Danio rerio: one gene and its partner. The protein of the gene in region 2 interacts with the protein of the main gene of each other region in a biochemical or structural test. Links are inferred from orthologs where the notes say so. Each region holds a gene or a part of one and is shown on either strand. Other genes may lie near its edges. The genes, in order: prkcba and rasgrp3.

What was found.
Region 1: of the proteins of rasgrp3 (region 2) and prkcba, one has a biochemical effect on the other in vitro, tested with the Homo sapiens proteins (2 studies listed by BioGRID). The link is inferred for Danio rerio from reciprocal best matches to the Homo sapiens genes RASGRP3 and PRKCB.

The regions. Positions count from the first base shown.
Region 1 is NC_133176.1:10,486,743-10,490,573, reverse strand, and holds part of prkcba (protein kinase C, beta a), read right to left. Parts: coding exon 3,795-3,831; intron 3,724-3,794; coding exon 3,583-3,723; intron 1-3,582. UniProt on the Homo sapiens protein: Calcium-activated, phospholipid- and diacylglycerol (DAG)-dependent serine/threonine-protein kinase involved in various cellular processes such as regulation of the B-cell receptor (BCR) signalosome, oxidative stress-induced apoptosis, androgen receptor-dependent transcription regulation, insulin signaling and endothelial cells proliferation.
Region 2 is NC_133192.1:24,445,551-24,450,025, reverse strand, and holds the start of rasgrp3 (ras guanyl-releasing protein 3), read right to left. Parts: upstream 3,123-4,475; 5' UTR 3,073-3,122; intron 3,070-3,072; exon of another isoform or gene 2,954-3,069; 5' UTR 2,881-2,953; intron 1-2,880. UniProt on the Homo sapiens protein: Guanine nucleotide exchange factor (GEF) for Ras and Rap1.

The DNA of each region.
Region 1 (3,831 bases), on a different chromosome or scaffold from region 2:
TTATATACAGAAGTAGTTCAGTGGTGCTCAACCCTGTTCCTGGAGATCCTCCTTTACTGCAGAGTTTAGCTCCAACCTGTAGTAGTTTTTGTATTTCAGCACTTTGTTATTAAGTAAATAACCATTTGCCCTCATAATCCCATAACCTTCCCTCCACTCTCGAAATGACTTTTCACTTCTGGTCACATGGAGTTCCTTTAGGGAATGGCTATCAATAGGAGTCTCATTTCTAGTCTGAATTCGCCCCCATTCGTCAGTCTTCCTTCATTTTGTTAGCAAAACCCTTCTTTCAATAATTTAATCAGTTCCCAAAGAACAAAATCATGCACCTGCATGCATTTTATACTCATTGTAGGACTGTTTCAAGTGGATGTACGCCACGATGGCAGAAAAAAATGACAAATAACCTCCCTTTCATGGCGACTTTGAAGCAAAACTATGCAAGTTTCTCAGGTGGTTAATAAGTGCAATTGCGTGCTTCCAGTGTTGAAACTGTTGTTGCGCTTTACCAATCACATGCATTCGTTGACTAACCTGAGATGTCCACCAACACAGATAAATAGCCTGTGTTACACAACACTGTTTTCCACAAATATCCTCACATGGCAGCCAGTTGGTGTTGGTTCTATATTAGATTGTTTCATCTCAGTTTTTTTAATAGTAAATGAATAAAGAAATCAACAAATTTTCATTTGCTAAAAGATTTTTAAATGCGCATGGAGATAAAGAACCACGTGACGCATTTAAAATCCGCATGCCCAAGTTAAAGCAGAAGTCACGTTTAACTATTGGCCCACAACAATATTTTCGACCAATCAGCTTTCTTGGTTTACAATCAGTCTCATTGGTTGGCTTTTATTGTTTCGTGCGCAATAAGCAACGAAAATAAATAATGGCATAGTGGCCTACCTAAATAATATTTGTATTTTCAAAATGCCAAAGAGGCCACATAAAAGTGAAATGAACCGAATGCCATTGGTGTTAGTAAACTGAATAGTGACATTTCATAAGATTTAAGTTTGTACGCTTGTTACATGTTTGTTTTTTATCCATGGTTGACCCATAACCTTAAATGACACAAAATAATTAAAGATCGTTCCGAAATTTGATGCTTTTATCCCCGCTATAACTGTTTAGTGATGTCATGTTCTGGGAAAACTGAAAATGTGTGGGGGACATCGATCACGGTAACTTTTACCTGGTTTTGTTCCGGAAATTATTCATTTACAAATTAAGCACTGAAGTTAAAACTAGCTCTGTTCTTTGCATTGCAATATTTGATCATTTTTACATCAGTTCAGTTCAGTTATCTCCTAATCCCGTTTAAATCAATGTCAGGCAGACCGAAAGAGTTTGTGTGTAAATGATACTGGCATATTTAGTGAAGTTTTTAAACTTATTTCGATAGGAGCACATGATACGATTGATCGCGGCTGGTCTCTCATTTATAATAATCGGTAATAATCCAATCGGATTGATCTAAGCCAACTATCTTTGTTTTGGAAGAATCTTCCCTTCCCTTCCACGCCATCTCCTTCTTTTCCTTCTTTACTATGGGGAGCTCTCGAGCCCTACCTGATCTCCGACCCTCTTACATGCTAAAAGACCTGGCGAGAACCCTGAGCTCAATTATCTCCAAGCTCAGGGTTCTCTCCCAGGACAGCATGCCAAACCTGCTAATAGCGTCAAGCAATATCTAAGTGTGAACTCTTGAAACAGCTCATAGTTACAAATGTTATCTACCTCTTTGCTAAATATAGTGTATTTATATTGAATCTCAAATATTTTTGAGCGTTTTGGTGAGTTTGTTGATCAACATCAGCTCCCTGGTGATGCACGCATGAATTGGGCTCTGGCAACTGTTACTGGGTTGCTAGGGTCACTACTAGTTGCTAGGGTTACTTCTACTGTGATCAAAACTGACTGGAAAAACCTGTGCATTACATGATTTTACTGCACACTTTCCAGCCAATCAGAATCAAGAATTTCAACAGAACATGAAAAAAAAGTGCCATTTATACCCTTCCGGTGTGGCTTTAATGTCTGAAACTTTTTATTTTAGGGTGAGACCGCACCAAACAACACTTAAAAAAAGCCTTTTCAATAGTATTTGTGTCTCTGAATGTGAAAGCAAACCATTGCCTCACTTCACACATCTGTGTTTACATGATTTTTTGTGGTTTAAGAGCAGAGCAAGAAGAGTTGTTTTATTTCCTGAGCAGGCACCTTTGTCACAAAAACATCTCTGAAAATTAGCCCCGTAAATAACAAAATGTGCTTCATCACTGCAGGTAAAATACACTCAACGGCCACTTTATTAGGTACACTTTACTAGTACGGAGTTGAACCCACTTTTGCCTTCAAAACTGCCTTAATCCTCCATGGCATAAATTCAACAAGATACTGGAAATATTCCTCAGACATTTTGCAACATATTGACATGATAGCATCATAGTTGCTGCAGATTTGTCAGCAGCACATCCATGATGCGAATCTCCAGTTATACCACATCCCAAAGGTGCTCTATTGGATTGAAATCTGGTGACTGTGGAGGCCACTTGAGTACAGTGAACTCATTGACATATTCAGTAAACCAGTCTGAGATGATTCGTGCATTATGGCATGGCTTGTTATTCTGCTGGTAGTAGAAGATGGGTACACTGTGGTCATAAAGGGATGGACATGGTCAGCAACAATACTCAGGCAGGCTGTGGTGTCTACACGATGCTCAAGTGGTACTAATGAGCCCAAATTGTGCCAAGAAAATATACCCCACACCATTGCACCCCCAGCAGCCTGAACCGCTGATACAAAGCAGGATGGATCCATGCTTTCATGTTGCTGATGTCTAATTCTGTCCCCACCATCCGAATGTTGCAGCAGAAATGAAGACTCATCAGACCTGGCAACGTTTCTCCAATCTTCTATTGTCCAATTTTGGTGAGCCTGTGTGAATTGTAGCCTCAGTTTCCTGTTCTTAGCTGACAGGAGTGGCACCAGGTGTGGTCATCTGCTGCTGTAGCCAATCTACCTCAAGGTTGTCTTGTTGTGCGTTCAGAGTTCTCTTCCTCATACCTTGGGTTGTAACGAGTGGTTATTTGAGTTACTGTCGCCTTTCTATCAGCTCCAAACAGTCTGCCCATTCTCCTCTGACCTCTGGCATCAGTAATGCATTTGCACCCACAGAACTGCTGCTCACTGGATATTTTCTCATTTTCAGACCATTCTCTCTGAATCCCAGTAGATCTGCAGTTTCTGAAATACTCAGACCAGCCCCTCTGCCACCAACAACCATGCCACATTCAAAGTCACTTAAATAATCTTTCTTCTGATGCACAGTTTAAACTGCAGCAGGTCGTCTTGACCATGTTTACATGCCTAAATACATCGAGTTGCTACCATGTGATTGGCTAATTAGATATTTGCGTCAACTAGCAGTTGGACAGATGTACCTAATAAAGTGGCCGGTAAGTGTATATACTAGAGAAAGTGCAAAAACAACACCACTGCGCTTTTATTGATGTGTGTGGTGCAGTAACCAGATAAACACTTACACACACACGTAGCTGCATTTTTACTTACAGATTTGGGTTTGTATGGAGGTTGAACTTCCTTGTTTTGCAGTCTTTCCCAGTCCACGAAACGGAAGAAAGCATGCTCTTTAATGTCCCGTTCGCCCTCCAGTCCACAGCCCAGACGTTTACCGGGATGCTTGGTCATCAGCTGCAAACACAAAAGCTCTATTAGTGTGTGCGAGAGTAGACAAGAGTGTATGAAGCTTGTGCAACTCGTACCCCCTTGCATATGGCGACTGCTTCTTTGGACATGGAT
Region 2 (4,475 bases):
TGTGTTAAGTCTTTCTCACACCCACACACAGACAAACATACACATTGCACGGTGAAAAAAAACGAATGCTTAACTGCAATGACTCGAGGGTTTTGCAGACAACTATGTAAATGTGAATAACTAACATTGGTAAATTGAAAACAATTTGTGCTCAAGGGGCTAATGATAGAATTCAGAAACCTAACGCACATCCCAAACCGCATATCTGTGCACTGTTCTATGCCAATTGTAGTATAAATACTGTAGTAATGCATTCACACACACACACACCAAATCCCAAAATAATAAGCACCCTTAAAAAGCTAAGATGTTGTACTAATTCAACCAACAGAATTAAGCATATAGAATGTTCTCATTGGTCACAGCTTTGGCTCACATAGCAGAAGGGGAGGAGCTTTAGAGCGTTGACGTTGGATTACTTTATTTATTTTGGATTGTGCAAATAAATTTCTCCAAATGATGATCCTTATGCTGGATGGACTCATGATACTGTAGGCTCCATTGTTATTTTGCTTATCAATTTCAGGAAGTTAGCAATTGTTAAACATCGTCTTGAAATGGTTTGAATTTCTGGTTAGTAGCAAAATGTTAGTGTTCAAACCTAAACTCATACACTACACACAATAGTGTATAGCGTCATTTGAGACACAACTCTAGTTATTGGTGACATTGATAGTGTGTTTAGCAACTGCAGCCACAGACTTATTGCTTGTGCTCATGCTCAAGACTGAACATAATGCGCAAATCAGGTAAAGTCAAGTCAAGCTAAGCTTTATTGTCAGTCCGCTACATGTGTGAACATACAGTGCCACAAAGTGTAGAGTCTCGCAGGACCACGGTGCTAGATAAATAAACATAATCATACATATGAATACTACACAAGATGTAGGAGCTATTTTCAAAGCCTAAACATAACTAACAAGTGTTAATCTAACTAACTACTAACTAAACATATAGTATTAATACTTCACTATACGCACAACCTAAGACAGACTTTACAAGTATTTTTACATAAGACGGAACAATATTGTGCAAGATAATGTGCAAAGGAGGTGTTTAAGTTTGAAGTAAACAAGTAGTGCATCATACTGTATACTTAATATACTGCAAAGGTGTTTTTTTAATTGTGTAGAAGTACAAGAGCCCCAGGAAACACTGTATGTTGCTATAATGTTCTTATGTGATTGCCATTGAGTTATGTTTTAGGAACTAAACAAGAATCATTTGCTAATGTTCTCTGTAAGTTCTTTTAAAACCTTCCAGGAACAAAAGGGAGCCCCCTTTTTGTACCAACTTAAAGTGAACATAGAAGAGAAAGTTCTGGCAACAAGCTCTGCAATGGCCCGCCATCATATCAACAGATGAGGTAGGTAAAGTTGCACTGTTATGGCAGTTCAGTTATATGTGTGTATATTAAATACAACAGACTTTGAATCAATCCATTTTCTTGGCATGCCACATGTGTTACAGTCCAGAATAGTTTTTTTTAGCATTATACTGATAACTGTAGCATTTGTTTCATGTTTCATACAACATAGAAGAGGTCACGGAACCAAGCATTATATCCACAAACTTCAGAATTTCTTGGAATCCTGAGTCCTTCAGACAAAAACAATTAAACAAAAAAACTGTCAGTAAGATTTGACAAACATTAAAGGAATAACTTTTTGGGAATTTGTTATCGGTTGTTCACACATTGCCAAAAATCATGAGTAAATAAAACTGCTTACAATATTAAGGACCAAACCAATGAACATGCATATGATTTTTTTTATTGTTACATCCAGCTGTAACCCAAATATAAATAATATTCAATAGTGTTTAAAAAAGAATGTGTAGAAACTCAAATGACAAAAAAAACATATTTGTTTTGTACTTTAAACAATATATAACAGTGTATTCATATTGTAATATATTGTATAATAATTATATTAATTTATTGTAAGTTGCATATATATAATTGTATGTGTGTGTGTGTGTGTGTGTGTGTGTGTGTGTATATATATATATATATATATATATATATATATATATATATATATATATATATATATATATATATATATATATATATATATACACACATAGTAATATATGTTTATGACAATATAAAGTACACAAAAACAAATGTAAATCAATTGAAATCACAAATGTATCCATAACACACAATCTCTGCACACTAGGGTAAAGTTGGTTTTATATTTGTACATTCATTCAGTGACAGCTCTCTATATTGTTTGTATGGTAATTTAAACAATTAAAATAAAATAACATGTAATTATGACTTTAAAACTACATTAGCACTATGTAATTGGCAAAATATTTGCTGTTTTTAATATTTGGAATATGCAGTGAATACTTTTGTGAAATTATATTATTAAGAAGAAAGTCTTAATGCATAAATGTAAAACCAACTTTATCTCAATTCTCTGCACAACATGATGGTCAGACTGACCTACTGTAACATCTAACTGACACTAAGGTCGTCAGAACAAACAGATGAATATCAGTGTTTTCCCCACTGCCTCCTATCCTATTATCACCACACAAACATGGCATAACACACCAGACAACTAAAAACGATACAACACCAACAACAACAACAACAAAAAAAACTTCTGACCTTCAAATTCCTCTATCAAAAATCTCTCAAGCTGCAACATGTTTGCGTTAAGAGTGTAAATTGTCCTTCTGTACTCTTCAGCTGATCACAGTAACACCGTCTGGCTTTAAACCACACATTTCACTGTGTAAAACTGACCCAACTGACAACATCTAGCATGCCATAGTTTGACAGTAATTTTATGTAACCACTAAACAAACCACTGGCTTTAATTAGGAGTGAGAATCTCTTATGTGATCAAGTAAAAGAGGTCTTACCTTATTGTGGATATCTTCACACTCAGGACAGATGTGAATAATGCAGCATACTTCTCTGTAAGTAAATGTTTCTCTGAACAAGAAAGAAAGACAGAAAGTATAAACTGCACGTCAGATGCACTGTTCAGTGAGATCAAAGCGCACACAATCAACAAGAGTGTGGTGTGCAAGAGCCGAGCATGTGATACTGACCCCACACAGATGCATGCTGCCGCTCTCCTCCCTCCGCTCTCTCTGGCCCTCCTCCTACACTCACACTCAGTCCCACCCCTCACCTCCCTTCACTCCGTCTCTTTCAGCTCCATCAATCAATCATTCTGTACCTTTCTTCCTCCTCCACCCCTCTCTCTCTTTCTTTCTCTCTCTCTCTCACACACACACATGCAGCTCCAGTACATTAATTACAGACGATAATAACATAGCAGAAAGCAAAGGCAACCCCTGCTGGATTGTAATAACATGGTAAATAAATGAAATAGAATATTTAAGTGCTACTGCATACATCAAGGTATGCTATAGTGCAGGCTTTCAGTTAATTATTTATTAACTGAAATATTACTTATTAACATTTATCTCAGCTGTTAAACGTGTTTGTTTTATTGTTCCTTTTTTGGATGGTCTCTTGCAGTATTTGGAGCTTAAAGAAGCACAAAAATATAATCATTTTAACAAATAAATCTTCCTTTAGACATGAAATGTTATTCACTTATAATATGGGCTTTTGGGCGACATAGTGGCACAGTGGGTAGCGCTTTCGCAAGGAGCAAGAATGCTGCTGGTTTAAGCCTCGGATCAGTTGGCATTTCTGTGTGGAATTTACAGGTGCTCCAGTTTACCCCACAGTCCAAAGACATGCAGTGTAGATGAATTGAATAAACTAAATTGGCCGTAGCGTGTGGGTGTGAATGCAAGACTGTATGGGTTTTTCCCAGTGCTGGGTTGCAACTGGAATGGCATCCACTGTATAAAACAAATGCTGGATAAGTTGGTGGTTCATTTTACGCAACCCTTGATTAATAAAGGGACTAAGCTGAAAAGAAAATGAACGAAATGAATAAATGAATGAATAGGGCTGTTTAATGCTTGATTCTGATTGGCTGATGGACACATTATTTTAACAAAAAAATGGCTGATGTGAAAATTATTTTAACATAAACACAAAGCCAATTTAGTAGGCTACCAAATAGGAGCAATTTAAGGCAAATATTAACCTCGCCAAAATAGTGAAACCCTTTTTTTATTTAGGCTTCTTAGGTGGCAAAGAATTCTGGCCCAGATTTGACATAAATCTGGCACAGCAGGCATTCATCCGGCACTGTCATACAGCATGTGGGCCAAACATGGCCCAGGTTTGGCAGAGGTGGCACCGTCTTTAAGGTGGCACGCAATACTTGGGCCAGATGTAAAATGTAGTATTTGGCCCAGATGTTGATAAATGATATGTGGGCCATGTACGTTTAGCTTATCTTGACCCACATTTAAAATACATTTGTATTATTTTCAAATAAAGAAAAAAGATTCTACCAATCAAGTCGCTTCAAGAAAAAGCACGCCTTGAGTGCAATGATTCATGGGTTTATCAATTTCATTGCAGT